Linked DNA regions of Diceros bicornis minor. The protein of the gene in region 2 interacts with the protein of the main gene of each other region in a pairwise test. Links are inferred from orthologs where the notes say so. Each region holds a gene or a part of one and is shown on either strand. Other genes may lie near its edges. The genes, in order: NEDD9, BANP, FOXR1 and PPIC.

Evidence for each region.
Region 1: the proteins of BANP (region 2) and NEDD9 interact in binary tests that used the Homo sapiens proteins (3 or more experiments, as listed by UniProt). The two-hybrid records come from large-scale screens. The link is inferred for Diceros bicornis minor from reciprocal best matches to the Homo sapiens genes BANP and NEDD9.
Region 3: the proteins of BANP (region 2) and FOXR1 interact in binary tests that used the Homo sapiens proteins (3 or more experiments, as listed by UniProt). The two-hybrid records come from large-scale screens. The link is inferred for Diceros bicornis minor from reciprocal best matches to the Homo sapiens genes BANP and FOXR1.
Region 4: the proteins of BANP (region 2) and PPIC interact in binary tests that used the Homo sapiens proteins (3 or more experiments, as listed by UniProt). The two-hybrid records come from large-scale screens. The link is inferred for Diceros bicornis minor from reciprocal best matches to the Homo sapiens genes BANP and PPIC.

The regions. Positions count from the first base shown.
Region 1 is NC_080753.1:55,281,146-55,288,786, forward strand, and holds the start of NEDD9 (enhancer of filamentation 1), read left to right. Parts: upstream 1-4,640; 5' UTR 4,641-4,811; intron 4,812-7,641. UniProt on the Homo sapiens protein: Scaffolding protein which plays a central coordinating role for tyrosine-kinase-based signaling related to cell adhesion. As a focal adhesion protein, plays a role in embryonic fibroblast migration.
Region 2 is NC_080771.1:36,394,501-36,402,087, forward strand, and holds the start of BANP (protein BANP), read left to right. Parts: upstream 1-4,570; 5' UTR 4,571-4,647; intron 4,648-5,484; exon of another isoform or gene 5,485-6,347; intron 6,348-7,587. UniProt on the Homo sapiens protein: Controls V(D)J recombination during T-cell development by repressing T-cell receptor (TCR) beta enhancer function. Binds to scaffold/matrix attachment region beta (S/MARbeta), an ATC-rich DNA sequence located upstream of the TCR beta enhancer.
Region 3 is NC_080746.1:18,002,987-18,010,086, reverse strand, and holds the start of FOXR1 (forkhead box protein R1), read left to right. Parts: upstream 1-4,078; 5' UTR 4,079-4,093; coding exon 4,094-4,154; intron 4,155-7,100. UniProt on the Homo sapiens protein: Transcription factor which acts as both an activator and a repressor.
Region 4 is NC_080740.1:43,990,642-43,998,029, reverse strand, and holds the start of PPIC (peptidyl-prolyl cis-trans isomerase C), read left to right. Parts: upstream 1-4,366; 5' UTR 4,367-4,435; coding exon 4,436-4,552; intron 4,553-7,388. UniProt on the Homo sapiens protein: PPIase that catalyzes the cis-trans isomerization of proline imidic peptide bonds in oligopeptides and may therefore assist protein folding.

The DNA.
Region 1 (7,641 bases), on a different chromosome or scaffold from region 2:
CGCATTTTTGTATATTTAGGAAACAAATGGGCAAAAGTCAGAAAAAACTGAGGAGTCTAATCTCTTCAACAGTCTAACACAGCAATGTAGTTTTATTTTTTATATTCTCGTGAATAAGATGTTTTCAAATTGCTATTTCATGTGAAACCAGAACAGCAGTTTATACAGTTCCCTCAGAAACCGAGGGTAATATAATGGTTTCAGTCTCATGTTCTGTTTGTGTGCACAGCATACTCCAGTGTGAGACTGCACACATGCACAATTGCAAATTGACAGTGGTTACATATATTTATATAAACATCTAGAAAATGTCCTGGAAGAGTACATCCCAGACAGATAACAGTGATTCACTGTGGGCAAAGCAGGGGAGGGAACTGAAATTAGGGCTAATTGTCAAAAGGCACTTTGGTTTTATCTGCAACTTTAGTTTTTTACAATATAAATTTATTACTTGTAGATTTTAAAAATTAATTTCAAAAAATATGGAGAAACTAACGAGTTTTACGCTAACACTAACGAGATTTACGCAATTATTTTTTGGGAAGTCAAAGATGGTTATCATCCAGTAGAGGGATAGGTGAACAGGATATAAGTAATGGAGAAACCAGTGTTTGGTGCCTGCCAGATGCCCAAATACAACGAATGCTTCCAATAAGTCAGAATCTTCTAAATTCACCCCATCAGTTCTCTCTTAAAAATAATTCAGTTTTTCTTCCCTTTGCTCTTCTAGGTGCCCATGTTTTTTCAAACAGCTGTTCCGTGAGCTAGAAGAATGGTTTCATCATGGCCAATGTCATTTACCTACTAATGATAAACATCAAAAGTGGTAGCTATTACTATTATGATTAACCAAGTGGTAAGTCTTGAAGCTATAATTCAAAGGATTGAAGAACAGGCAGAGAATGAGGAACGGGACAGATGGAAGGGTAAACTTCTGCAGAGACCATGAGGGATGCTGAAAGAGCTCACACCAGCAGCTCTGAACCTAGGCATGGCATGAGGTGAGGGCTGGGCTCAGAGCTTCTGGAGAGTGAGAGAAGTTTGGAAAGACGACGTGACAGATAGTCAGTGGGGGACGAATAAGAAGATTCCTGAGAAGCATGAGGGCCTCAGTTGAGGTTTGAGCGGGAGGAGTTTGCAAGGAAACAAATTTGCCTTTGTTAACTTTCCCCAGTGAGTCTGGGCAGCTCTGGAGCATGAGAAAAAGTAGATTGAGCTTCTGTCTATGGCTGGAAATGGGTGAACACCCGGAGGAACAAGAACAAGGAAATCGACATGTTGCTGAAATAGCTGGTCATGACGTTCTGGCAATGTGAGAGTGCTAGACTCCAGGATTTGGTTGATGGACTGGGAGAACAGAGGAGGTGGAAGACAAAGACGTCCTGTTATGATAGAGAGAAAAGGAGAATTGTAAATGGCAAGAGAGCAGAAGAGGAAGGTGGATGATGTCCATTTTGCCATGCCTACTAGACTGAAATTTCTCCTATGGAAGGAGCTGATTCTCATTCATTTTTCAGTTATCATAGCACAAATTCATAAGTGCTTTTAATATCATGAATGAACCAATTAATGGGAATAGTTATCTCACTAGATTAACTCCCCACCAAGCTAGGAGTTTCTTGAGGGCAAGCCCTGTGTTTCGTGGATTGATGTATCAAAAATGCACCAAAAAGCTCAGAGGAGTTTGCAGGTACACAACAGTTATTGAATGGACAAATGAACTGGATCTTTTTGAGCTCTGATTTCTTCAACTAAAAATGAAAACCTCAAGACTGACTCGCATTCTCCAGCAGGGATGAGGCATACGTTATAACACTAGACAAATTTGCTATTAAAACTTGCCAAACCAACTCTTGAGCATATTCATTTAAATTGCTCAGTGGGCAGCTGATTCCATATGGCTAATACTGTCTTCAGTTGTGGAGGGAAATGAGTCAAGCAAATGGAATCATAAATACACACACACACATATATACACACACACGCAACTTGGCCACGGATTTTTTAACCTTTTTCTTTTCTCAAATTCTCCTCGCTTCTCTCTCTACCACTCCTCAGCCTCCAGCCCATACAACAATCGCTCCTTGGACCAAACATCCATGACAAATTCAAAACAGTTGCCTGGGGTTTGGCTACTGCTTAACAGGTAGTTAGAAACACGCTGCGGTGTTAACGGAGATTCCAGCTAACGAAGATGGCATGAAGAAGTTGATTAAAGCAGCCAAGAAAACTGTTCAAATGAAGATGGAAATGTAGACGCCATCTTCATTGGACAGAGTGATTAGAAATTACGGTTGTTTGTTTTTTGTCAGAACCATCTGTGATTTGTCAAAATTTTGGCACGTGGCATAACCTGCCACTAATCAAAAAGGAGAAAACAAATCAAAAAAAGGTAAGAAAATTTAAGACTGTAAGTAGGAAAACAGACATAGAAAAACCTTCATCTTACCAAGTGGGAAAAATATTTAACTTATTTGTCTAAAACAAGTCTCATCTGTTTTTGGACAAAATCTGAGCTCCTAGTTTGCCTTGACAGGTATGCCTTCTCTATTTGGAAGAAGAACTCAACAGTGGGAGGTCCAGGCAGCTCAGAGTGGGAAAAGAAGCCATGAGGATGGAGACGAAAGAACGGAGTTAAGGATAATCAAGTCACGAAACTTAAGTACTTTATTTAAAAGAAGCCCAGGCTTATTTTTTTATTATTTTTTTTGTGAGGAAGACCAGCCCTGAGCTAACATCCAATGCCAGTCCTCCTCTTTTTTGCTGAGGAAGACTGGCCCTGGGCTAACATCTGTGCCCATCTTCCTCTATCTTATATGGGACGCCGCCACAACATGGCTTAACAAGCGGTGCATCGGTGCACGCCCCGGATCCGAACCGGCGAGCCCCGGGCCGCCACAATGGAGCACACGCACTTAACCGCTGCACCACCGGGCCTGACACCCCAGGTTTTTTTTTTAGTATATCTAGAGTGTCATTGACTTATGGAGACAACTCTATTATTAATCTTTGAGTTATTATATATAACTGTAAAGTATTTTTTCTGAAACTTACACATTTAAATTTATACTGCTTAAATATCTAGTGAAGAAAATAATACCTGATATGGTATACTGAGAAATGCATAGAGGGACATTTTGAAAAAACGTGCATTTGTCTGAACATCTCCCTTACCTCTATTGATTTACGATGAATACTCTGCACTATAAAATAAAAACTTGGAAATAGGATAATTCTACTTCCAATCTGAAACAATTATTGAAATATAGCATGTCCCCAAGAGTGGTGTTTTAAGGAAAGGGGAGAAAAAGAAAAACGACAGAGTACTATGATGATATTTTCACCATGAACATTGCTAATTACACTTATAGATGTGACTATGTGTGATGATTTATACAGATGCTCTTGTTATTGATGTATTTATAAGCCCCAGTTGCACAAGGCATTGAGCCGTGTGTTCGCTTCTTTGTTTAAATGTGGCATCTGCTAAAGGGCCGAGTATTCTTCAATATGATTCAGGCCAGCTCAACATTTAAAAATAAATGACATGGATCTGAATTTCAGAGAAGTGTTATGGGAAATTAAAACAAAACAGCAAAAGTCACGAGAGTGCAACACACAACATGAGCAGAGTGTGAAGACGAGAGGGGGCCAACAACAGTCCTTTCCTTGTCTTGGTGATGGAGCAGAAGCATCAAGCACCACTGGATCATTTGGGGAGTATCACCTATTCAAACTATCTCCCCTCTCTTCAACCCTCTATGTCCCCCAGTCATTTCCTAGGCACGAGGTGAGAAGTGGAGAAAAGAAGGAAAAAAGGAAATGATTGAGCTTATAATAGCATAATTTGCCACTAATAATAATAGCAAACTCTTGTATACTGCTTATTTATTTGTCCCAGGCACTCTCTGGGTGTTTTCATACACTAACTCACTTAATTCTCACAATAATCCTATGGTTATTCCCATTTTACAGATGAGGAAGCTGAGGCACAGAAAGATCAAAAGCATTTATTTGAAAGGTAGAGCCATAATTCACACCTGGGTATTGGCCTCAGAGTATATCCACTTGTTTGCTACTCAAAAGCACAGCTAGAAGAAGACTAGGGCTGTGAGGCTAAGTAACTTTCTAGTTCCCTTCCACATACTCAAATCTGAGCTTCCACACCACATTGTACACAGGAATTTTCCACGTGGGTAGTTACCCCCTAGCAGGGCGCTTGTCACAGTACAGGCTCAATAAATACTTGTCAAATGAAAGAATGTTTCATGTCAATTTACAGTGAAACTCTTTGGAACATATTGAGTCCATAAAACCACAAAATCCTGACTTGGTTGGCCTAAAATAGCCTAAATTTTTGCCTCAATGCAGCCTAGAAAGGAGCTTAAACCACTAAGGAAGTACATTGCACAGAATTTCATTGCAATAATAATGTGCAGATCACCTATCTTTCTCAAATTAGGAAATGGTGCAGAGTAGAACTATATTTCTTACCTGCCCCTAAACTGCAGATATCCGCAGTGTGTCAGGAGGTCTGACAGAGAACACAGAGAGGAAATGAACTGAGACAACATCACTTCAGAGCAACCGGAAGGAAAAACACACACATACCTACGCCTCTCACATTCTACGTGTGGTTGCTCAGTGGGGAAATGCTTACAGCTGCCTTTAGAAGCAAGCCCGGAGACTGCAGCAGGAAAGAAGCCTAATCGTGGGGCAGGACTGAGCTGCCACCTCCTGCCTGCCCACTCGGAGAGAGGGCAAGAACGCCAGGGATACCAGATGATCCACCAACAGTGGTGCTGCCCTGGGTGAGTTCTCAGACACTTGCTGTGGCCTGAGGGGAGGAACAGGGGAGACTCACTCAGACTCGGACTTCCTGAGTTGGTGTCAGACATCTGGTGGTATTCCCCACTGTTAACACCCCTTAACCGAAGCTGGGAGGGACTTAACATGCCCCAAAGGAGGAAGGATGGCTCTAGACCTCATTCAAGTTAACCTGGAGGTACTGGCTTTAAGGCAACTTAAAACCTACCTGATTCTATTTTTTTTTTTTTTTTTTTGTGAGGAAGATCAGCCCTGAGCTAACATCCGTGCTAATCCTCCTCTTTTTGCTGAGGAAGACCGGCTCTGAGCTAACATCTGTTGCCAATCCTCCTCCTTTTTTTTTCCCCCCAAAACCCCAATAGATAGTTGTATGTCATAGTTACACATCCTTCCAGTTGCTGTATGTGGGACGCAGCCTCAGCATGGCCGGAGAAGCGGTGCGTTGATGTGCGCCCGGGATCCGACCCCGGGCCGCCAGTAGCGGAGCACATGCACTTAACCGCTAAGCCAGGGGACTGGCCTCTGATTCTATTTTTAAAATCATCCTGGGTAGTGCTTCCTGGTGTGTAGAGTAGAGGCTCCTCCCCAATTCCTACCATCATCAGAGAGTTCTCCTGTGCTAAGCTGAGCTTTTACTCTCCTCAACTCTTTCAGTACTTTAAAGTGTGGGCTGCCACTCACACTTGATGGTAGATTAGAGTCATTGATAATATCATTTTCAGCCACTCTGGGAATGACTCCTGAGGGGCAAGAAGCAGCGATTGAGAACTGGCTTCAGTGTGTGTCCCAGCTCTGCAGAGAGCTGGTCATTAGCATCATCTCTAAGGGGCTGGGGACAGATTACACTGTGCTCTGCCTGTCCACATTGGGCCACCGCAACAGCTCCATCCTTCCTTTTCTCTATATTTATTAATTCGTTTAACTCATTCATTCATTCAATTGCCTTTTTCCCACAAGGGATTTGAGGCAACTCTTTTATCTTGCTGAAATTACTTCAAAATGAAGAACACATACAACTTGAAAGAGGGAGAGTCATTCTAAAAGGGTTTTCTGTTGTTTAAAGCTGGTGGAGATGGGCGAGCAGGCTTTTCCCTGTGCTGGTGATGAGAGGGGAGAGTGGGTGCCCCAGGCTTTTTAACTCCTGCTTGAGGAGCCTGTCCTTTCCCTTAGTGGGGAAGCTAGTTTCCCATCCAGAAGTGGGTGTGAAGAGCAATTGTCCTTGACAGAACCCTGGGAACCAGCCAAGCGGTTTTCCTCCTTGTTTCTGTTTCCTCCTGAGTTGGGTTATTTTCAAGGACATTCCTGTTCTAAGAACGGGGCAAAGTGGAGCTGTGGAAAGGAAAGAATATGAAATCAGTTTTGAGTTAGAGCTCCACCATTTCTCATTAATTAGTTCATTTATTTAACAACTATCTAGTGAGTATTCACTGCGTGGCAGCCACTTTTAAGTCAAAACTTACATAAGATGGAGCAAAACTGACGTTGCCCTGCCCCCAAAAAGCTTACGGTTGAAGGGAGAGGCAGACGTTAATGATTACATAAATATGATGAGGACCAGAACGTGTCGCGGGGGAACCTGATCTCATCTGGGAGTCAGGGAGGTTTCCATAAGGAAGGCAGATATGAGAACTGAAAGAGGTGTAGGAGTTCACAAGGCAAAGGGAACAGCCTATACCACACCCCGAGGTGGAAGGCCACAGAATTGTCCTGCAAAATTATAGCCAGTATGGCCAGAGGGAAGAGGGGGGTGGCTCAAGGTGAGCCTGAGGGACCAGGTTAAAGATGCTGCTTATTCTAAAAGTGTTGGAGAAGGTAGGGGTGTTGTGAACTGATCTGCATTTTTTTTTTTATTGAGGTAACATTGGTTTATAACATTATATAAATTTCAGATATACATCATTATATTTCAATTTCTGTGTAGACTACGTCATGTTCACCACCCAAAGACTAATTACCGCTGTACACACATGCCCTATTACCCCTTTCATGTTAAGGAATCCCTTTTGATACAATGTGGAGAATGGATGGGAGGAGGCACGCCTACAGACAGGGAGACTAGTTAGGTTGATGAAGTCAGCCAGGCAAGGATGTCTGTGGGAGTACAGACAAGACAAGGGTGGTAGGAGTGGAGATAGAATTAGACAAATTAAAGAGCCATTTAGAAAGGAAAATCAACAGGACTTGGTGGTGGACAGGAAAGGAAAACGAGGGGGAAGTGTCAAAGATGATCCTGTTTCCTGGTTTCGGCATCCAAATGGATATTGATGCTGCTTGCTGGTCACAGAGACTGGAAACGCTGGTGGAGACCAGGCCCAGGGTTAGTTCAGTTCTGGAGCTGATGATTTTGGAAGGCCTAGCAGACATGCAAAGGCAGACATTAGCCAGGCAGTTGTCATTGATCAACATCTGGATAGAGCTCAGAGCAGAGATCTGGGGGATGCTTGTCATATAGATGGTAACTGAAGCCAGGGGTATGGATGATACATACTTGAGAGTATCAAATAAGAAAAGAGGAGGGTGGCTTAGGGTTGAACCTCAAGAAATTCTAACACTTATATATGAAGAGGAGGAGAAGGAGCTCTCCAAGAAGACTAGGATGGCTTCTTGAAAAGTTAAAAATAAAATTACCATATGACCCAGCAATTCTACTCCTAGTTATATATCCAAAAGAATTGAAAACAGGGACTCCAATATGTACATATACGTGCATTTTCATAGCAGTACTATTCACAATAGCCAAAAAGTGGAAACAGCTTAAATGTCCATCAACAGAAGAATGGATAAACAAATTGTGGTATGTGCATACAATGGAAT
Region 2 (7,587 bases):
GCCCACTTTAAAATCAGGTTGTTTTTTAGCTATTGAGTTGTATGAGTTCTTTATATATTTTGGATATTAACTGATTATCAGATAGATGGTTTGCAAATATTTTCTCCCATTCTTTAGGTTGCCTTTTCATTTTGCTGCACCAAACTTTTTAGCATGATGTAGTCCCACTTTTCTTTTTTTTTTTTTATTTTGTTGCCTGTGATTTTGGTGTCATATCCAAAAAATCATTGCCAAGACCAATATCAAGGAGCTTTTTCCCTCTGTTTTTTTCTAGGAGTTTTATGGTTTCAGGTCTTATATTTAAGTATTTCATCCATTTTGAGTTAATTTTATGTATGGTGTAAGATAGGGGTCAAATTTCCTTCTTTTGCATGTGAATATTCATTCAACAACACCACCATTTACTGAAGAGACTGTCCTTTCCTCATTGTATATTCTTGGTGCCCTTGTCAAAGATTAGATGACCAAATATGTGTGGGTTTATTTCTGGGCTCTGTATTCTGCTCCATTGATCTATATGTCTATTTTTATGCCAACACCATACTGTTTTGATTACTATAGCTTTGTAATATAGCTTGAAGTCAGGGATCATGATGCCTCCAGCTTTGTTCTTTCTCAGGATTGCTTTGGCTATTTGGGGTCTTTTGTGGTTTCACACAAATTTTAGGATTGGTTTTTCTATTTCTGTGGAAAACGACATTGGAATTTTGATAAGGATTGCATTGAGTCTGTAGATGGCTTTGAGTAGTATGGACATTTTAACAATATTAATTCTTCCAATCCATGAGCACGGAACCTCTTTCCATTTATTTGTGTCTTCAGTTTCTTTCATCAGTGTCTTACAATTTTCAGTGTACAGGTCTTTTACCTCCTTCGTAAAGTTTATTCTTAAGTATTTTATTCTTTTGATGCTGTTGTGAATGGGGTTGTCATCTTCATTTCTTTGTCAGACAGTTTGTTGTTAGTGCATAGAAACACAACTGATTTCTGTGTGCTGATTTTGCATCCTGCAACTTTACTGAATTCATTTATTAGTTCTAACGGTTTTTTGGTGGAGTCTTTAGGGTTTTCTATGTACAAGATCATGTCATCTGCAAATAGAGACAATTTAACTTCTTCCTTTCTGATTTAGGTGCCTTTTCTTTTTCTTGCCTCAGTGCTCTGGCTAGGGCTTCCAGTCCTATGTTGAATAGAAGTGGTGAGAGTGGGCATTTTGTCTTGTTCCTGAGCTTGGAGGAAAAGCTTTCAACCTTTCACTGTTGAGTGTGTTGTTAGCTCTGGGCTTGTCATATATGGCCTTTATTACATTGAGGTTTGTTTCTCCTATACCCTGTTTGTTGAGGGTTTTTATCATGTAGGATGTTGAGTTTTGTCAAATGCTTTTCCTTCATCTATTAAGATGACCATATGATTTCTATCCTTCATTTTGTTAATGTGGGGTAGCATATTACAGACAGGTGTGTCTCCTCTGGGTCCCTGAGTGGGCAGGACTGCTCCTGGACCATGGCTAAGAGAGGCTAGAGCCGGTCCCAGGGCCGCTTCAGGGCCCACAGCCAGAACCAAATTCAGCAGGCCTGTTACCAAAGGCATAGGCAGGCCTGATTCCTGCCAGGTCCCTTGGCAGGTGGTGCTGGTGGCAGGACAAAGGCCAAATGGAGCTGCAGTCAAGTCCATGGGAGGATGGGCCTGATTCTGGGTCTGTGACTGAGACCAAGGTCAGCAAGTCAGACACCTGGGTGCAGGCTGACTCACAATGACCCTGCTTGGTCTTGGGCTCCACCAATGTTTCACAGTCTCTACCTGGATCCCAAAGGTCTCTCAAAGGGTCTTCTGTCTGTGGATGGCTACCAAATTATTGTTGCTGAGGTGGGATATGATGGGGGACCTCCTATTCCGCCATGTTGCTGACATCACTTCCTGGTCCTTAAATCTCTTGACTGTCCAGAACATGTGGCCATGGCCTGTCTCAGGTCTGGGTGGAATCCATGGCAGGGGCAGATGGGGCTCTGGTGGGTGCTGGGTGCTGCTTCTTCCCATTTCCCCTGAATTATCCTATGAGCTCTATCCCCAAGACTCCAGTTCACCCCCAAACCTTATCCCATAAGTGCCTCTGTGTGAAGCAGAAAGAGGTGTCCTGGGGTGGGGGAGGAATTACAGAAGAGGCCCCCATGGTGGACCAGCTACAACAGGGCATTGTTCAGGGCAGTCTCCACAGCCATGGGTGGTGGCCAGTGGCCAGTGGTGCCCAGAGTTCCCCATCTCAGGGAATGGTGCTTCGGTCTCTCCAGTTTTACATGTCTGCAGACCCAGGCTGCATCCCTGATGCCCCCTCTCCCTTACTCCCTTACTCCTCAGTATCAGATTCAGGGGCAGGTCCTATTGATTTCACCCCTTGGAATCTCTTGATTCTGTCCACTTCTCTGCATCTCAGTCTCCATTGTGACCACCCTAGTCCAGGCCTCCATCATCTCTTGCCTGGACCCCTGCCATAGCCTCCTCAAATGCTCCCTCCAAATCAGTACCCCTCCTCCCACCCTCAATTCATTTTCCAGCACTCCAGCCTGAGTGACTTTTGAATATGCAAATCTGATCATATACACCCTTGCCCCAAACCTTGTAAAGCCTTTCCATTACTTGAGGATCAAGACAAAATTTGTCCCTTGGCCAATAAGGACCTGCATAGCCCACATCCTAACTACCTTTCCTGTGACATCTCACAACCTTCCTCCTCAAAGCTCTAACACAGCCATAGCTGTGTGACCCTGGGTGTGTAGCTTAACTTCTCTGAACTTCATGTTGTTCACAAAGAATAGGGATCATAATAAGATGTGCCTGGCTTGAGGTGTGGTAACTCAACACATGGTAACGTGATCATTTCCTGAGTCAGACCCTCTGCTAAACCCTTTACAAACTCTGCTTCAATGAATCCTCCCAATATCCCAGGAGCTGTGCGTTGGAGCCAATTTCCCTGCTGGGCAGGAAGGAGCAGGCAAACCCATACCTGAAAGAGAGCTCAGACGAGGACTTTGTGATATTTTGAAATAATGTGAAAAATATCACCCTACATTTATCGGCTTTCTAGTTGGATATTCACGTATTTATGTTAACAATTCTTACATAGTTATGAGTTTAGATTCCTCTGTGATTGAGGCAGAGGTGGGGCTAGAAAGCACGGCTCTCCAGAACTTTTCTCCCCTGGTCCTCTCTCAGGATTTTTGTGGTTAGCTTTTCAATTCTCTTCCCCACTGTGAGCAGACTCTAGACCAAGGTGTTTCTGATTCCAAACCCCACTTCTGTGTGTCCTTGCTGAACAATTTTTGCAATCTCTCTGAGACTGTTCCTCAACTCTAAACAGGACAGATGTCATTTCAATATCAGCATCTTTTCCAGCACTGACTTTCTGTGGTTCTTTGGAATTTCTTTAAGGCACTTTTCCTGCAAAGGAATCCAGCGCCCGGCCTCAGCAGAACCCCTGGTGTTAAATCCTGGAGGACATGCTAACTCAACAAGGTTGCCCCAGGCCGCACAGCTGGTTACTGCCCTGAATCACGTTTTCATTAGTGGGAAAGGGAAGGGGGCAGGAGACTCTGGGAAAAGCGTTTTATTTTTCAAATGAAAACAGCTCCCTCGTTTTGTGTTTGGATGATCATTGTAAATAACTCGGAAAATAGAGGTGAGTACGTATAAAGAAGAAAAATGAAAAGCAATGGTAACGCCAGCACACAGAGATAGAGAAGCAGGAAAGTTTCTGGGAATTGTCTATTTCCAGGTAGGGGAATAGGGATTTTTCCCTACCAGTACCCACAAAGGCGCATTTACGCTATATAAATATAATATAACCACATTCATACTATATTTATATTCATATGTAATATAGCTTATACATTACATATATACATATTATACATAATATATTAATTACATAAAAATGCATAGGCATATAATTTATATATATTGTTTCCACGCGCGTGCACTCGCGACTGTCTGGACAGACGCTGGGGACCCTTGAACACCACCAGTATTTGGGGGAACCCCGCCGGAACCGGAGCACGGGCCGGGCGCAGCTGCCTCGAGCATCTGAACTACAAGTCCCAGTGGCCCAAGGGGCGCGCGCGGGACACGCGACCGGAGTGCGGACAGACTACAAGTACCGGCAAAGCATGGCGCAGAGGCACGGACTACAAGCCCCAGGATGCACTGCTCGCGGTTCGCGCAGGGCCCCCCGGGATATGTAGTCATGGGGGGGGAGCTAATTCCTATTCATTCAGCCTCAAAGAAAATGCAAATTCTTCCAACGGTCCACCGACGCGACTTCTCACGGCCTAGCGAGGAGACCGAGCGCACGATGGGGAAGAAAGAACTCTGCAGGGCCCAAACTGTGGCACGGAAGAAGGACGCGTGCGCATGCTCTGCGGTCGTCGGCGCAGGCGACAGCGACCTCGGGAGGCCACGAGCGGCAAGCCCCGCCCCCTTCCCCGCCCCCGCTCTCGGAGCGCCCCGCCCAGGGAGCCTGCGCAGACGGTGCAGGGCGGAGGGCCGCGGGGAGGGACTCCTGGCGCCTGCGCAGACCCGCGGCTTCTCTCGCGAGGACGGACGCCATTATCGCATCTCCCCGACAAACACCACGAGAATTCCGCAGCCCACACGGTAATTGCAGCTCCCGCAGTCGGTCGCGTCTCCACCTCCCCCTTCCCGCGGGGCGAGAGCGAGAGCGAGATCTCCCCTCCTCCCTCCACCCTGCGCCCTCCTCCGGCCGCCGCGCCCGCCGCCCCCGCCCGGGACACCCTGTCCGGGCCGCGGACGGCCCGCCGCCCCTTCAGCCTCCTCAGGCCCCCGGCCCGCCGCCCGCTCGGCCCCCTCAGCCGTCTCCGCGCCCTCGGGCCCCGGCCTCGCCCCCTCAGCCCCGCCGCCTCCTCAGCTCCTCCGGACCTGACCCCGTCCCCGCCGCCCCCTCAGCGCCCTCGGACCTGTTAGCCCTCCGGGCCCTCCTGCCCGGGTCCTGCCGTCCGCCCTCAGAGCCCTGGTCCCGTCAGTTCCCCGCCGTCCCGCCGGCCCCGTCCGCCCGGCCGGGGGCTTGACCGCCTCGGTCCCGGGCCCTGCGCACTCGCGTTCCCCGAGGAGGGTGGTATCCGCTTCTGTGCATCTCCCCCCACTGCCGTGCGGGCCGTGGACGGGCGGGGGCGGCCCGGCCCTGCGTCCCCCCCGTGGGAGCGGCCCCGCCGGCCCCCGCGCCCGGACGGACGCTCGCGGCTGCCGGACGTGCCGGCCGGGTTGTCACCTGTTTGGGAAAGTGGAAAAACCGAGAAGGCACAGAACGCCCCGCGGTGTCGCGCCCCGTCAGGCGGACTTCCGATCGAGCGCCCGCGGGGCCCGTGAAACGGAGCCCGGGCGTCGGGACGCAGACGCGGAGCCTCTGATGGCGGGGTTCACGAGGGAGAGGGAACGGGGGCAGGCCGGGAGGGGGCGGCTGGGGGCCTCGGTGGAGGCGGCTGTCGCCCCCCTCCCCGCCCCCCCCCAGTATTTTTTGCCGTGTCTGTGATTGCATCTTTTCGAGTTGTGGCCTTAGCTTTTTGCACGGAGGTGCTGTCCTCACAGCCCGTGCCCCGCTGTGCGCACTGAGGACGCCGCCTCGGGGGGCCGGGTCTCCCTGGGGGCCGGGGGCGGGGCGGAGGAGTCACCTCCCCTGAGAACGCGGACCCGGGCCTCCAGCGTAGGGAGCCCGCCCCGAGGCCCGCTCACAGTCCGACGACGGGGACAGGTGATCTCCGCGGGGAGTCGCCCGTCCGCCCGACGGCGCTGCTGCGCAGCCCCGAGGTGACTGGTGACGAGAGCGGACCGTCCTTCTGAGGGGGCAGGGGCACGGAGGTTTGGGAGACGGAGGCTGACGGGGCAGTTGCGTGGTCCTCAGGACGTGCGGGAGGGAGGCGCCCCTCAGAGCGCAGGTGATGTCGTTGACGTTCGGCTTGTGGGCCAGCCCTGGACAAACGTCCGGTGGGGAAACGCCAGAATTGCCCGCACAGTTCGTTCTGTATGTTCAGCTCCTTTCCCCTCTGTCTTGCAATGAGAACAAGAATATGTTCTTGGGATGTTGGACTGTGTCATCGTGGGCTTTAATTTTGAAAAGTCAGCTGCCATTTCTGGGTCGTGTGCTGTGGCCGGGACTGCTGACCCTTTCCGGTGACTCCCGACACGACGACGCGGGGAGGCCGAGACCGCTCCGTCTGACAGAGGAGGCGCTGAGGCCGGGAGGCTAGGGGCCGCCGAGGCCACGGAGCCGCGGTGAGCTGTCTGGAGGCTGTGCGCTTAACAGTGCAGACGTGCGCTTCGTGTTGTCACGTAGCGTCCAGGTGAGGTGTCCATACGGCGAAAGCAGCAGTCCCCTGTGCCGCCTTTCAGTCCCACTCCCCAAAGACTTGTGTTTTTGTTGTTTCTTCAGGAAGGTCTCCAAAGCTCTCAACAATAAGCTGGTGTTTTGTTGATTTTACACATTGTTGACTTTTTGTTACGAAAGGATGCTTTAGCTCTCCTGTCGGATCTCACTCCTCTATACCCTGAATTCACTATGTTCAGTTAACTCAGATGGTTTGTAACTGCAGATATTGTTTGCTTCACAGCCAAGTAATGCATTTCCCTCACACAGCTTGATGTGTTTGCTGTCGTTTGTAATGGCCTTTCTTTTTCTTTGCGTTTTCTGCTCCCATTGACTGCTTATATTGTTTTAAATTCTCAAGGATAGTGTCACATCTCTCCAACTTTCCCCCTCCTCCCCAGCCCTCTGTTCTCTTTTTCCAGTCTGGATTGATTTTTAGGCCAGCACAGGTATTATCCTGATATTTTCTTTTCTTATACATCTGGGTTTGTTCAGGACTCCATGTTTTAATCTTGGCTTCCTTCATCATTTCAATGAGAACCTTCTGCCAAGTAGATGTATTCCTTTTGGGTAACTCTTAAGGATCCTCTTTGGTTTTAGGACATTCCCAGAGTGTCAAAAAATGTGGAATCCCATTCCGAATGCTCTTTGACTCTGGGAAATTCTCTTGTATCATTTATTTGAGAATTTCTTCCACTTTGCTTTTACTCTTCTCAATTTGGGTTCCTGTTTGATGATGGTCATCTTGGATTGACCCCCTGAATCTCTTTGTCTTCTTCCTGTGTCATTTTATTCTCATTTCTGGGAAAGGGCTTCAGTTTATCTTCCAATCTTATTTTAAGTTTTTATTTCCACAATCGAAATTTTAATGTCCAAGAGCTTATTTTTTCTGTTTTTTTTCATAGAAACTTATTGTTTTATGAATACATTCGTTGTCTCCTTGACTCTGAGGATACAAATAAGGGTTTTAGTTCTCTTTTTGTTCTCTGATTTCTTGTTTCCTCTAGTGTCACTGTTGTTTTCTTTTTTAACTTGGTGGCTTCTTGTTTCATATAGCAAGTGCTCCTCAAATATTGGTAATTATTGTCTAAGGCAAGAGGAAGTGGGCAGAAAGCTCCGAGTCTGTGGGGCTCGTCTTGAAAATACGTGGGTTTCCCTTTGGGTGATTGGGAACTTACTACTGTGCTGGGTCCTCAAATGCCAGATCGCAGAGAGAT
Region 3 (7,100 bases), on a different chromosome or scaffold from region 2:
TTCCATTGTGCAGCAACATTTGGAGATTATTGACATAAACATCTTTTTAATTGTGGTAAAATAAACATAACATAAAATTTACTTTTAACCATTTTTAAGTGTATGTTCAGTGGCATTAAGTTCATTGACATTGTTGTGCAACCACCACCACTATCCATCTCCAGAACTTTTTCATCATCCCAAACAGAAATTCTGTACCCATTAAACAATAACTCCCTATTCCCCTCACCCGCCTTGGCAACCATCATTCTACTTTCTGTCTCTATGAATTTGGCTATTCTAGGTATCTCATAAAAGTACAATTGTACAAAATTTGTCCTTTTGTGTCTGGCTTATTTCACTTAGCATAATGTTTTTAAGATTCATCCATGGTGTAGCATGTATTAGAATTTCATTCCTTTTTAAGGCTAAATAATATTCCATTGTATGTATAGACCACATTTTGTTTATCCATACACCCACTAATGGACATTTGGATTGTTTCCACTTTTTAGCTATTATGAATAATGCTGCTATGAATGTAGGTGTACAAATCTCTGTTCAAGTCTCTGACTTCAGTTCTTTTGGGTATTTGCCCAGAAGTGGGATGGCTAGGTCATACGGTAATTCTACGTTTAATTTTTTGAGGGGCTGCACCATTTTACATTCCCACCAGCAATGCACGAGGCTTCCAATTTCTCCGCGTCCTAGTCACCACTTGTTACTTTCTTTTTTTTTTTTTTGTGAAGAAGATCAGCCCTGAGATAACAATCTCTTTTTGCTGAGGAAGACCGGCTCTGAGCTAACATCTATTGCCAATCCTACTCCTTTTTTTTTTCCCCCAAAGCCCCAGCAGATAGTTGTATGTCATAGTTGCACATTCTTCTAGTTGCTGTATGTGGGACACGGCCTCAGCATGGCCAGAGATGCAGTGCATCGGTGCGCGCCCGGGATCCGAACCCCGGGCCACCAGTAGTGGAGCGCACGCACTTAACCGCTAAGCCACAGGGCCGGCCCAACACTTGGTACTTTCTGTGTTTTGTTTGTTTGTTTTCATAATAACCATCCCAATGGATATGAAGTGGTATCTCATTGTGGTTTTGATTTGCACTTTTTTTTTTTTTTAAAGATTTTATTTATTTATTTTTCCCCCAACGCCCCAGTAGATAGTTGTCTGTCATAGCTGCACATCCTTCCAGTTGCTGTACGTGGGACGCGGCCTCAGCATGGCCGGAGAAGCGGTACGTCGGTGCAATCCCGGGCTCCAAACCGGGGCCGCCAGCAGCGGAGCGCACGCACTTAACCGCCAAGCCACGGGGCCGGCCCTGATTTGCACTTTAATGATTAATAATGTTGAGCATCTTTTCATGTGCTTATTGGACATTTGTATATCTTCTTTGGAGCAATGTCTATGCAAGTCCTTTGTCCATTTTTAAATTGGGTTGTTTGGTTTTTTTGATGGGTTGTAGGAGTTCTCTATATATTCTGGATGTTAATCCCTTATCAGATACATGATTTATATGATATAAACATTCTTAAATGGTACACTAATTTGAAAGGGGTGGTTGCATTACAGTAACTTTTTTTTTACAAAACAAAAATGAAACACTCATAAGGAAAAAGACTGGAAGGATATACATCAAAATGTAATCAATTATCTCTGGTTAATACAAAGAATGATTTTTTTTATTGTTTTTTCCTCTGTGCTTTCTATACTTTCAAGTTTTCTGCATCAAACATGTATTATTATTATTATTTTGGTGAGGCAGATTGGCTCTGAGCTAATATCTGTTGCCAATCCTCTTCTTTTTGCTGAGGAAGATTAGCCCTGAGCTAATATCTATGCCCATCTTCCTCTATTTTTTATGTGGGACACCGCCACACATGGCTTGATGAGTGGTGCATATGTCCGTACCTGGGATTCGAACCTGTGAATGCCAGGCCACTGAGCATGCTAACTTAACCACTGTGCCCCCAGGGCTGGCCCCAAATGTGTATTATTTTTACAATTAGGGAAATTATCATCAAAATTATTGGTATTAAAGGTAGAGTCCCAGCAAACTTTTAAAAAGGAGGCTGTCGTTTTCAATGTAGTTACAACACTTATCGGGGGTCTCCTATGCACCAAGTATTCTCCAAGTTTCTGGTCTAGTAGATAAGCACCAGGCAACACAGTACAGCGTGGATGGGCTCTAATGGGGAACTCAGGACGCACAAAGGAACCAGAGGGGGCTGCCTCACCCACTGGCCAAATCTGGGACAATTTGAGGATTAAAACAAATAATGATAGTAATGAATTATAATCCACTCTACAAAATAAGAATCCTTTGAGTCCATACTGATAATAAACAAACAAACAAGTATGGGATAAGGAAATGCTCTTCCTCACAATAGAATGCCAACGAAATAAATGGAAAAGTAATGATCAATTTAGAAAAGTCATTTTACTCCCATCATAGTAATGATTGATTCAGGCAAGAATCATAAATAGATGCTAGAATTAGTGGGTCCAAATTTGATGAGGAACAGGATTTCAGATCAAAGTATCTCCCTACAGATTGCTTACTAATTACAAAAGAAAAATAAAGGTAACTTTACAGTAGAGAAACCTGGTGGACACCACTAAACCAAGTGATTGAAGTTAACATCACTAATAATGAGACAAATTGACATCATGTGCCTCTTGAGGCGATGTACTAAGAAGGACTAATAACATCATATCTGTAGTATTTTTGCCAAAAATGCATAATCTAAGTCTAATTATAAGGAAACATCAGACAAATCTAAACTAAAACACATTCTACAAAATAAATGGCCTGTACTCTTCAAAAAATGTTAAATGTTATGAAAGATTACAAAGGCTGAGAAACTCTCCAGATTAAAAGAGATATGAAAATTAAATACACTGCGTTGGCGCCAGCCCAGTGCCCCACAGTGGTTATGTTTGTCAGCTTCAGCAGCCTAGGGTTGGCGGGTTCAGATCCCAGGTGTGGACCAAGATACCACTCATCAAGCCGTGCTGTGGTAGCATCCCACATAGAAAATAGAGGAAGATGGGCACAGATGTTAGCTCAGCGCCAATCTTCCTCAGCAAAAAAGAGGAAGATTGGCAACAAATGTTAGCTCAGGGCCAGTCTTCCTCACACACACACAAAAATAATAAAATATATAACTATGCTGTATGATCCCGAATTGGATCCTAGACCAGAAAACAAATTTATATGAACAACATTATTGGGACAATTGATGAAATCTGAATAGGATCTGTACGTTAAATATAGTATTGAATCAACGTTAAATTTTTTATTTTAATGATTTTCCCATTTCTGATTTTCTGGTTATCTAAGCCAATATCCTTCTTTTTAGGAAATACACACTTAAGTATTTATGGGTAAAGGGACATGATGTCTGCAAACTACTCTCACATAGTTCAGGAAAAAGAATACATGTTTTATACATATGGAGAAAAAAATTAAAATGTGATAAAATGTTAATAATTGGTGTAATTGGTGAATTACAGGATTTAGGTATACAGGAATTCTTTATAGTATCCTTGGGATTTTTCTGTAAATTTGAAATCATTAAAAACAAAATTTAAAAATCACCCTTCAATCGTATCTCCACCATGTACCACCACAGATGCGATCTTAGATAAACGGTAAAATCGATCAGAACTTCTAGAAAGTAGCTATTAATACTCTCAGGGGATCATTCTTAAAAGGTAGACTAATTGACTACCTAAAAGAAGAGCTTTGTGCAAATATAGAGGGGCAAGAGGAGCTGGGATACCCCCTTCCGGACCCCCAAGGTCCCCAGACCTCAAAATGAAAGCGCAGGAAGGGGGTTGAGGAAAGACGTCGTCGTATAGAGTAGTCAGCCGAGGCCAGAGGAGCTTCAAGGCGTCAAATAGGGACTCTCCACACCTGAGCTGCCTCCAACTAAGTCAATCAGACCCGGGTATTTGAGGACGTGCCTCTGAGGCCTCAGCCTCAGTCTCTCCGACTCTCCCACCCCCTGCCGGGCTCTCCTCCCCCTAAAGGTGGACCTGAAACTTCGACACCTCGACTTCTGGGCCAGCCTCCATGGCCAGGTCCCGGGACTGCTGGACTGGGACATGGAGAAAGAGTCCTTTCTGGCCTTCACCACAGCGCACCTGCCCTTAGTGCAGCAGAACCGTGAGTCCCGGGGAAGGAGGGGGGCCGGAGGGGGGGGGGCGTGCCGGCGCGGTGGGGGGTGGGGGAGCTCGCGGGAGCGCCCAGGCCAGTGGGCCCCCCAGCCTTCGACCTCCTCCTTTCCCTGGCTGAGCCTGGTTGGCGGCGTAGAGCTTCGGGGTCCTGCGCCCCCTTTGCTGAGTCCCGGAGCCCCCTCCCCCACCCCCTCCTCGCCGAGTGGCAATTGGGCCGCCGCCTGGACTGCAAGCTCACAGAGGGCAGCGGTCCTGCCCAAACCCAGCGGCCTTCTTCTTGACCCAACCCGCCCAGCTCCGACCCAGAACTTTCTAGGCCTCTTCTCGGCTTTTCCTCCATGGCGCCTGGCGCTGTTTGGCACACTACATATTTTACTCATTTTTAAAAAATTTAGTTATCAATTTTGTTCGAGGCTCTATCCCCACCTGTTAATACATTGCCTGACACCTAGAGGTGCTCAATATTTGCTGACTGAATGGTTGACTTGTGGTCTTTAAAATTTTTTCTTTGGCCCTCAAGTGCAGAGAGCTGAGGTAATCACCTACATTCATGGTACTTCATTGCCATCTGTTTGGCAAGGTACTTGGAGTAACTCATTTTTCCCCTTCCTCCTCCACCCTCACTTCCATCACCTCCCACACGCCCATGTATTTACCCTAATCCATGCAATGTCTTTAGCTAAGTGTATCTTTGAAAACTATTTAGCATTATTTTGTATTCAGAGGTGACCTTAATTTACATAATGCTCAGCTTTTTTCCCCTACTCACATTGTTTTTGAGAGCTATTCTGGTTGCTAAAGGCAGATCTGGTTCATCATTTCTGACTGATGTTTAGTATTCTATCATCTGCATATACTTCCTTTTGCCTTTTAATTCTCCTTACTAATGGAGACCTAGATTGCCTCCTGCTCTTTGCCACCATAAGTAGTGCTGATGCACGTTCCTATATCTTCACTGATTCAAGAAATATTTATTGAGCACCTGCAATTTGCCAGGCACTGTTCTAGACACTCGTGAAGCATAATGAACAAAACTGAAAAGGCTGCGTGGAGCTTGCATTCTACTGGGGGCAGACAGACAACTCACATAAAAAATATGTTATAAGGTGATAACTGAGATAGGAGAAAGAGGAGACAGTAAGAGGTTTCTGGAATGGGTTGGGGGAGGAGGTGGTGGCAGCTATAGTTTTAAGTAGGGTCATCAGGTTGCACTTCACTGGGAACATATATTTGAGCAGAGGGCTGAAGGAGGTGAGATAGTGAGCCAAGAGGATATTTAGGGGAAATGTTTCCCAGGCAGAAGAAATAGCCAGTGCAAAAGCCCTAAGGAAGGAATATGCCTGGAGTGTTTGAGGAACAGTAAAGAGGCCAGTGAGGCTGGATTAAAGTAAATAAAGAGATTAGAGGGTGTGGAGCAGAGATCAGGAAGATCCACTTTAAGGATGTTGGGCTTGACTTTAAGTAAGAAGCAGCATGGTTAAAAGAGTTGGAGCAGAGGAGTGACATGATCTTCAGCGTCATGAGTATGCAGCCTGCTGTACAGTTGCATAGGGTGCCTATACTTGGTTTAATGCTCTACCATCACTGTCTTGAGACTTTTAATAACTTTTGAACAAAGAGCTCCACATTTTCATTTTGCACTGGGCCCTGAAATTTATGGAGCCAATCCTGCATGATCTATATTCTGAAAAGATCACTGTGGCTGCTGTAAATGTAGAGAGACTAGGAGCCTAGAAGCTGAGAGACTAGTTAGGAGGCTGCTTACAATCCAGACAAGAGATGATGGTCCAGTGGACCTCTAGGGTGGTAGCAGAGGATGTAGTGAGAAGGTAGAACTAGCTGGATTTGCTGATGGGTTTGATGTGTGGTGTAAGAAAGAGAAATTAGAGGATGACTTCTCTGAGTTTTTGATCAAGTGGAAGGATGGAGTTGCCTTGTACTGAGATGGGGGAAGCTTCTGGTAGGACAAGTTTAGGGATGAAGATCAGGAATTCTGTTCTGGACATGCTGAGTTTGAGATAGTTTTTAGATATCCAAGTAGACATGTTGAGTAAACAAGTGGATATATAAGTCTGGAGTTCTGGAGTGAGGTGTGGATTGTAGATATAAATTTTGACAGTCTTTGGTATATAGATGGCATTTAAGGAGTGAGAATAGAGAAGACAGAGAAGGACTAAGGATGAGCCCTGGGGGCAGTCCATTGTAAAGAGATTAGAGCGAAGATAGATAAATGGCAAAAACTGAGGAAATGACCATTGAGCATGAAAACTAAGAGAGTGTGTTCTCCTGGAAACCAAATCAAGAAAGTGTTTCAAGGAAGGCGTGGTCAGATGAGAGGAATGCTGCTGAGAAAACCAGTAAGAGGTAGACTGACAATTGGATTCAGCAAAGCAGATGATAGTGGTTTTGGTGGAGTGGTGGAGGCCAAAGCCTGATTGGCAAGGGTTTAAGAGTAGAAGGAGGGGAAGTGGAGACAAAGTATAGACAATTCTTCCAAGAAGTTCTGCCTCAAAGGAAAGCAAAAATATGGAGTAGTGGCCTGGCACAGAAAGTGGGGCAAAAGAAGTTGGTGTTTTTAATAAGATGAGAGAATTAACGAATGCTAATGAGAGTGAACCAATAGAGACAAAATTAATAACACAGGAAAGAGAGGAGAGTATTATTGGAACATTGTCCTTGAGAAGGCAACTGTACCAGAGAGGGAGGGAGGGAGACAGACAGAGGCACTATCCTTTGATCCCACTGAGACCGTCAATCTGTTGATCCTGTCACCCTTTCACTGCTCTCAATCACTGGATGTCCTCTCTTCTTTAACTAACTTGCAATCCCATGGTCAGATATGCTCATGCACTTGCATTCACCATCAATTCCTTTGACCCTCTATAGCTTTGGAGCACTTGCTTGGCCAAACCACAACCCTGATTAAATCCAGCTC
Region 4 (7,388 bases), on a different chromosome or scaffold from region 2:
ACCGAAAAAGAAAAAAAAAGTGTAAATTAGAAAATATTTTTAGCTGAATGCTGATGAAACAACTACATATCAAAATTTGTGGGAAGCATCAAAAGCTTTGCTTGTCAAGGGGAATTCTATTACTTTAATTTCACATAGAGCAATATAAAAGAAGAAAGGGGAAAAAAATCAATGAATTAAGAGTCTATCTTGAGGAGATAGAAAAATAACAGTAAATTAAACTCAAAGAAAGTAGAAGAAAGAAAATAAAATTAAGAACATAAAGTAATGAAATAAAATCAAATGCATTATATTCACCCGCTTCCTTGGTGAAACCATTCAAGGAAAAAGAAAAAAGAACCAATAATAGGAATGAAAAAGAAGACCTTACTACAGGTCCTCCAGCCCTAAAAAATTATAAAAAGATATATTATGCAACTTTATGTAAGTAAATCTTAAAATACAAATGAAATGGATAAATTCTTCAAAAAATACTACATGTAAAAATTGACAGAAGAATAGAAAATTTGAATGATCCTTCTACTATTTAAAAAATTAAATTTACAATTTAAAACTTTACAAGCCCACATGGCTTCTAACAAACATTCAAGGAAGAAATGATGGCAATCTTACACAAACTCTTTCAGAACATAGGAAAGACATTTACCATTTGCCAACTCATGTTAAAGGACCATAATAACCCTGATATAAAAAGTTACAGGAAATTCCAAGAAAGGAAAATTTCAGGCTAGTCTGACTTCTGAATATAGATGCAAATATCCTGAACATAAGATTAGCAAACTAACCCACTAACATCAAAATGGGATTTTGACAATCAGCTTGGTCTGAACTGGAAAGCGAAAGCCACACTTTACCTACTGTTTTTCCTTGAACATCAAAAGAAATACCTTTTTTTGTTTTTTTGTAAGTTTGTTAAAAGAGAAAATGAGCAAACCATATGCAATAATATATTAAAAGGCCACGTATTACATGTTGGGCGTATTCCAGAATGCAAGGTTGTGTTAAGATTTGCAAATCAATGCAATTTACCACATTAACAGAGTAAGGGAAAAAAATCATCTGATTATTTCAGCTAATTTCAATAGATTATGTGTATCAAATTCATGATAAAAACAAACTAGGACTAGAAAGAAATTTTCTTAAGCTGAAAAAGGATATCCCTTCCCAAAAGAACCTTCAGCAAATATCATTCTTAATGGTGAAATAGTGAAAGCTTTTCCTCTGGGATTGGGACCAAGCAAGTTTATTGGTTTTCTAAGGCTGTAGTAACAAAGTACCACAAGCTGTGTGGCTTAAAATAACAGAAACATATTGTCTCACAGTTCTGGAGGCTAGAAGTCTGAAATCAAGGTGTTAGCAGGGCCATGTTCTCTCTGAAGGCTTTAGGGGAGGGTCCTTCGTTGCCTCTTCCTAGGTTCTGCTGGTTGCCAGCAATCTTTGGTATCCCTTGGCTTATAGATGCATCACTCTCATCTCTGTCTCTGTCTTCGTATGGTATTTTCCTCTGTGTATGTCTTTGTCTCTCTTCTTTTTATAAGGACACCAGTTATATTGCAGTAGGGCACACTCTCCTCCAGTATGACCTTATCTTAACTTATTACATCTGCAAAGACCCTATTTTCAAATAAGGTCACATTGACAGATACTGGGGTTTAGGACTTTAACATATCTTTTGGGAGGACACAATTTAACCCACAAAATAAGAACTCCCACTATTGCCACTTCCTTTTGTACTGAGGGTCCTAGCCAGTGCAATAAGGCAAGAAAAAGAAATGAAAGGTCTAAAGATTAGAAAGGAAGAAATAAAACTGTCATTATTCATGGATGAGATAGTTGTCTACATAGAAAATCCTACATAATTCCCAGATAAATTATTAGAATTAATAAGTTCAACAAAGTTGATCTATTCAAGATTAATACACAAAATTACATTTACAATATAATAGCAACAAATAGGAAAATAAATATTTAAAAAGATAGAATTTACAATAGCATATAAAAAACAAACACCTTGAAATCAATCTAACAAAATATGTTAAGATCTCTAGGCAGACAACTATAAAATTTTACTGAGAGAAATTAAAGAAGACCTAATAAATGGAGGAATATGCCATGTTCATGAATTGGAAAACTCAATATTACAAATATGCCACATCCTTCCAAAATGATCTATAGATGCCATGCAATCCCAATCAAAATCCAGTTTATGAAAACTGATTCTCAAGTTTAGATAGACATGGAAAAGGTCAAGAACAGCCAAGAATCCACTGAACAAAGTGAGAGGACTTGTACTACTAAATATGAAGACTTATCATAAAGCTATTTTCATTAAGACAATGTGATATTGGCACAAAAATAAACAAATATGCCAATGGGACAGAAGAGAGGGCCCACAAACAGACCCATGCATGTATGGACACTTGTTCCATGACAGAAGTAGCATTACAGAGCAGTGAGTAAAGGAGAGACTTTTCAATAGATTGTGCTGGGACAAGTGGATATTCATATTGAAAAAGAAACTGAATTTGACCCCTACCTTGTGCTATGCACCAAAAGAGCTATAGGCAAAAACATGGATGAATTTCACAAATATAAATTCAAGCAAAAGAAAACATGCTATAAGATTCCATTCATATAAAGTTTAAACAAAACTAAATCATAATGTAAGAAGTCAGGATTGTGGTTAACTTGGGGAGAAGAAAGTGTTAGTAATCGGGAGTGGGTACAAGAGGAGTTTCTAGAGAGCTGGCGAACATTTCATTTCTTTGGGGGGGTGGGTCCTAGTTATGTTTGCTTTGTGATAATTCGTTGATCTGTACATTTACCTTTTGTGCACTTTTCTTTATTTGTATCAATCTTCCCAAGAAAAAGATTTTTAAAAAGAAGTTGGACAGACACATTCATTGTTCTTTCATTGAACAAATATTTATTGAGAAATCAGTATGTGCCAGGCATGGTACTAGATCTAGGTCATCAAAAGGAATAAATACAGGCTCTGCTCTGGCTCTGCTCTGGTGGCACGTCACTGATAGCAGAGACAGACAAAAACAATTACAGTAATGAATACAGGTAAATATATGTAGTTACTCAGTGAGATTAGCGCTCTGATACCCTTAGCTGGCTACAAAAGGGGGCCTCTTTCTTTATTGGAGGTGGGGGTGATGAGGAAAGCCTTTAAATCCTTCTTCCCTGGACTAAATTGTCAAAGTAGTTCAGAAGCGTTCTGCCCACCCCTCAAAAGCAGCGGTTACTCCTTTTACATACAATGAACACTTCCAATGTAATTTTAGATCTCCACTTAGTTACACATAGGAATCCTATCTGCTTACCCAAGGGAAATCTTGGCTTGCAAGTCACGGCACCAGCCCCTAAGAAAACCAAGAGAATACTATTATCAATTTGTAGTGAATTTGGAGCTATTACTTTAAAATGAAAAAGTTCTTTTGAAGTCTTAATTCAAAAAGCATTGAGTTTTAGAATAACGTTTTCCTGATTATAAAATACTTACAAGTTCAATGGAGAACATCTGGGAAATCAGAAAATTACAAAGAAAACAAAATTCCATAATTCTATCACCATAGCTACTGTAAATGTTTTGGTGCATTTCTTTCCATTTTTAAAATGCCTTTATATATTTATTTTCACAGTTGAGATCAGAATTTCTAGGGGATTTTGCAACCTGAGTTTTCCATTTAAAAATATAATGAGCCCTTCCCCGCGTCATTAAAGAATCTTCCCAAACAATTATTAAATTTGTAAAAATTATATCTCCAACTTGAATCATCTCAATGAGAGGTCATTCATCATGTGTAATCGAGTCAACCCATTCAGGAGTCGGTCCCAAAGTTCCGAGAGGCGTCCAAAACTTAGCTAAAGTCTCTGACGGAACATTGGAACCTGGCAGGCGCGGCGGAGGCTACTCCAAGGGCAGCTGCGGTTACAGACCCGGACCGTCGGCAGAGTCCCCAGCCCGGCGGCGCGCAAGTTGCCAGGCGGCTCCGGAGCGTCCTCGACTTTCCGTGAGGTTTAACAGGCGCCTACGCGGTAGGTTCCTGGAGATGTCCCCGCGCACCCTCAGCTCTCGGGCTCCGGGCCGAGCCTGCCGCGCCCCGTGTGCGCGCCTCTCCGGGGCGCCGCGCCCCCGCCGCGCGGCCTCGCTCCGGGCCCTGGCGCCCAGCGCACCCGCCGCAGGCGCGGCGGTGGGACCCGGCTACGCCCTCTGCGGCGCGCCTCTCCGAGTCCCTAGTTCGGGTCGCTGGGCTGAACTTGGGAGGAGCGCACCCTGGGTTCCGGCTCTGCCCCGGCCGCCCATCCCCATCCGCATCCCCATCCCCCGCAACCGGGAGCGCGCAGGCGCAGCTGGCCGGGAGTCCCGCCAACAGTCCCGGCGCCTGCGGTCGTGCCCGAGCCGCTGCCACCACTGCCACCGCTCACCATGGACCCGGGTCCCCGGCTGCTGCTACCTCTCATGCTCTGCATGGGGCTCGGCGCGCTCGTGTCTTCTTCGGGGGCCTCGGGAGTTCGCAAGCGAGGCCCCTCGGTGACAGCCAAGGTGACCGAGCGGCGAGCAGCAACTTCCCCTCGTGCCGGCCACGGGGATTGGGGAGCTTTGGGGACTGGGACCTCAGCGTCAGGGGCGGCGAGGAGGGGGCTGGCTTCCCTGGCGCAGAAGGCGGGAGGCGGCGGGGGGCTAGGTGGGAGGGGGTCGCCCGCGCGCGGGGGGCGCGCTCTCGTGGGAGACTTTGGGGGCGCTGGGCGGAGTCCCAGCCCGCCCCCGGCGCCGACTGTTTGAACTTAGCCTCCCGGGTCGGTGGTCCGACGTGTCCAGCCCGGGGGCTGGGAGAAGCTTCCGGAACCGGTGGGTCGTTTCTCCAGGAAGGAGACTGGCCGAGTACTTCCTTCGGCGTGGCGGGGACTTGGGAACAGAAGCAGGAAGAATGTGGGAGGGACGGGGACGGGCGGAGGAGACGCGCTCCGAGCCGCGGGTTTGCAGCCGGCCGGCCCGCCGCGGCTGTCACCCGGCCTGGAAGAGCCCAGGTGCAGCCCCTGCCGCGGGCTGCCCGGGCCGCCGTTCCCCGCCTGGCCCAAACGGGAGGCTGGCCGCCTTCTGCTCTGTGTAGCAACCGTCGTCCTCCCCCGGCAGCGAGAGGGGCGCTTTTAGACTTCCGCGGCTGGTGGGTAGACCCTGGGCTTGGGAAGGTGCTAGCGTGGCACGAGTGTCACCTGTGTGACTGAGGCCAGCCTTTTCATCTCGATTAGGGGAGGAAAAAAATCTGCCATGAACTGTGTCTTTACAGCTTCGGTTCTTTTTTCAGCATATTTACCCAAGGTTAGAAGATAATGGGAGGGTGCAGGGAGAGGAGGAGGAGGGAGGTAGGAAGAGAGGGAGTGATTTGGTGGTGCCTTGATCACCACTTCTAGAAAAACCCACAGGCACTATGCGTCTTGGAATCTGGAAGGAAGGGCAGCTGCAAGTGATCTTAACAAGCAGTCGGGTGTTTGCCAGTGGAAATGATACTGCTGAACTAGTAGAATGTTCAAATCCTCCACCACAGACCCCGCCGAGGAGTGGGAGGACGAGGGGGTCTAGGAGGTTCAGCCCAACGTCTGATGTAGCCTAAGAGTGAGCCAAAAGGCCATGCCATGCTGCGGGGGGGGGGGGGGGGGGGGGAGTGTGAGATAAACTTAGCCTGATTGTTTTAAGCACTGATTCTACTCCCAGCCCTTAATCTTTGGGTCCTATCCAGTTTTGGGAAATGCCTTGTATAAGGCCACAGAGCTGAAGGGGTTGGGGAGGGGGGTTCTTTCAGTCCGCTAATACTATTTGGGTCTCTTGGGATATAGCCGTAAACATAAAATTTATAAAATTATGAAATGATGAAGGAAATAAACCCTAATACAGGTTGGATGACATTTAAAAATACCTGAAGGATAAGCACAAATAGCCTGGCAAAGACTTAGAAGGCAAAGGGAACTGCATGTGCAAAGGCCTGCAGACAGAAAAGCCATCCGTGTGTGCAGAGGATGGAGAAAGGCGACAGTGTGGCTTCAGCCCAGGGATGAGAGGGGAGTGGCTTGAGATGAGGTTGGAGGGCTGAGCAGTAGCAAGATCATGCAGGACCTTAGAGGCCACAGTTATGACTGTGGGTTTGAGGCAATTATTCTTATAATTTGAGGGCTTACTTAGGTGCAGTGAGAGCGGAGGAAGGGTTTTAAGCATGGGATGGCATGATCTCATATATGCTTTTAAACAATTACTGTGGTTGCTCAGTGGAGAGTGAACAGGGAGGTCATCCAGGGCTCCATGTCAGAGTCCAGATGATGGTGGCTTGGATTAGGGTGGTAATGGCAGAAATGGGGAGCAAGGGAGGGACTTGAAAGAGGTTTTTGAAGTATAACTAACAGAACTTGCTGACGGTTTAGATGCGGGTGGGGGAAAGGGAGTAGGATTGCGGGAAGCCCAGTTAGATTTCTCAGTGTGAGTACATGACCTGCAATATTTGGGCACAAGCTTCACCTGGGAAGCTTTTAAACCTCTCCATGCAGAGACCCACCCCAGAGCAAGTCAGTCACAATCTCTGGGGTGTGCCGCCTGGGTTGGGAACCTCTAGAAGAGGGAGCCAAGAGGGGAGGAAGCTGGTGGCTGTAGGAGGGGAAGAGTGGGAGCATCTTAGCCCCTAGTCTAGGGTGCTGTCACTGAGGAAGTTTTCATGTGTCTGCTCTCGGAATTGTCACTTAATGTATCTCCTTTTTTCCCCCACCAAATTTATCATTAAATTCTAAAAGCTAATTGTGTAGGCAAGTCTTCCACAGACTCAACTCTGTTGAATTACTTTTTCAGTGGACTTTTTAAAACAACTAAATGTATTGGAAAATAGAGACATTAAAAAGTATTTCTCTAAGTGTGGAAAAGTAGATTAATTGGCCGTTGCTCTAGTGTATTGTTTTCCCCAGCAGTCTTTTCCTTTTTCTCTGATTTCAATTAAAAATAGCAATCTGTAAATAAGAGAGGTGTGAGGTGCTGTCCCCACACAGGGCCGTTTAATGGCACTCAGTGTGTGGTGAATCCTGCTGCCAGCCACTGTCTCAGCTTCAGGGCTCTAGTTCACAGGTCTCCAAGTCCACCAGATTGGCATTTGCAGCCCTGCATTTTCCAGCAGATGCCATGGGTTCTGTGCAAAGTCAGGCACCCAGAGTATTGAAATTAATGCTTCCATCTTTCCAGCTGCACTCACGTCACAGCTTGCTGGCACTTTCTACAGCATGGAGTGGCCAAGAGGCTATGACCGGGTGACCTTGGGCAAGTTATCTAAGTCTGATGCTCTGTTTCCTCCTCTGTAAATGGAGATAGAAATGATACCTACCTGGGAGAGTTTTGCATATTAGAT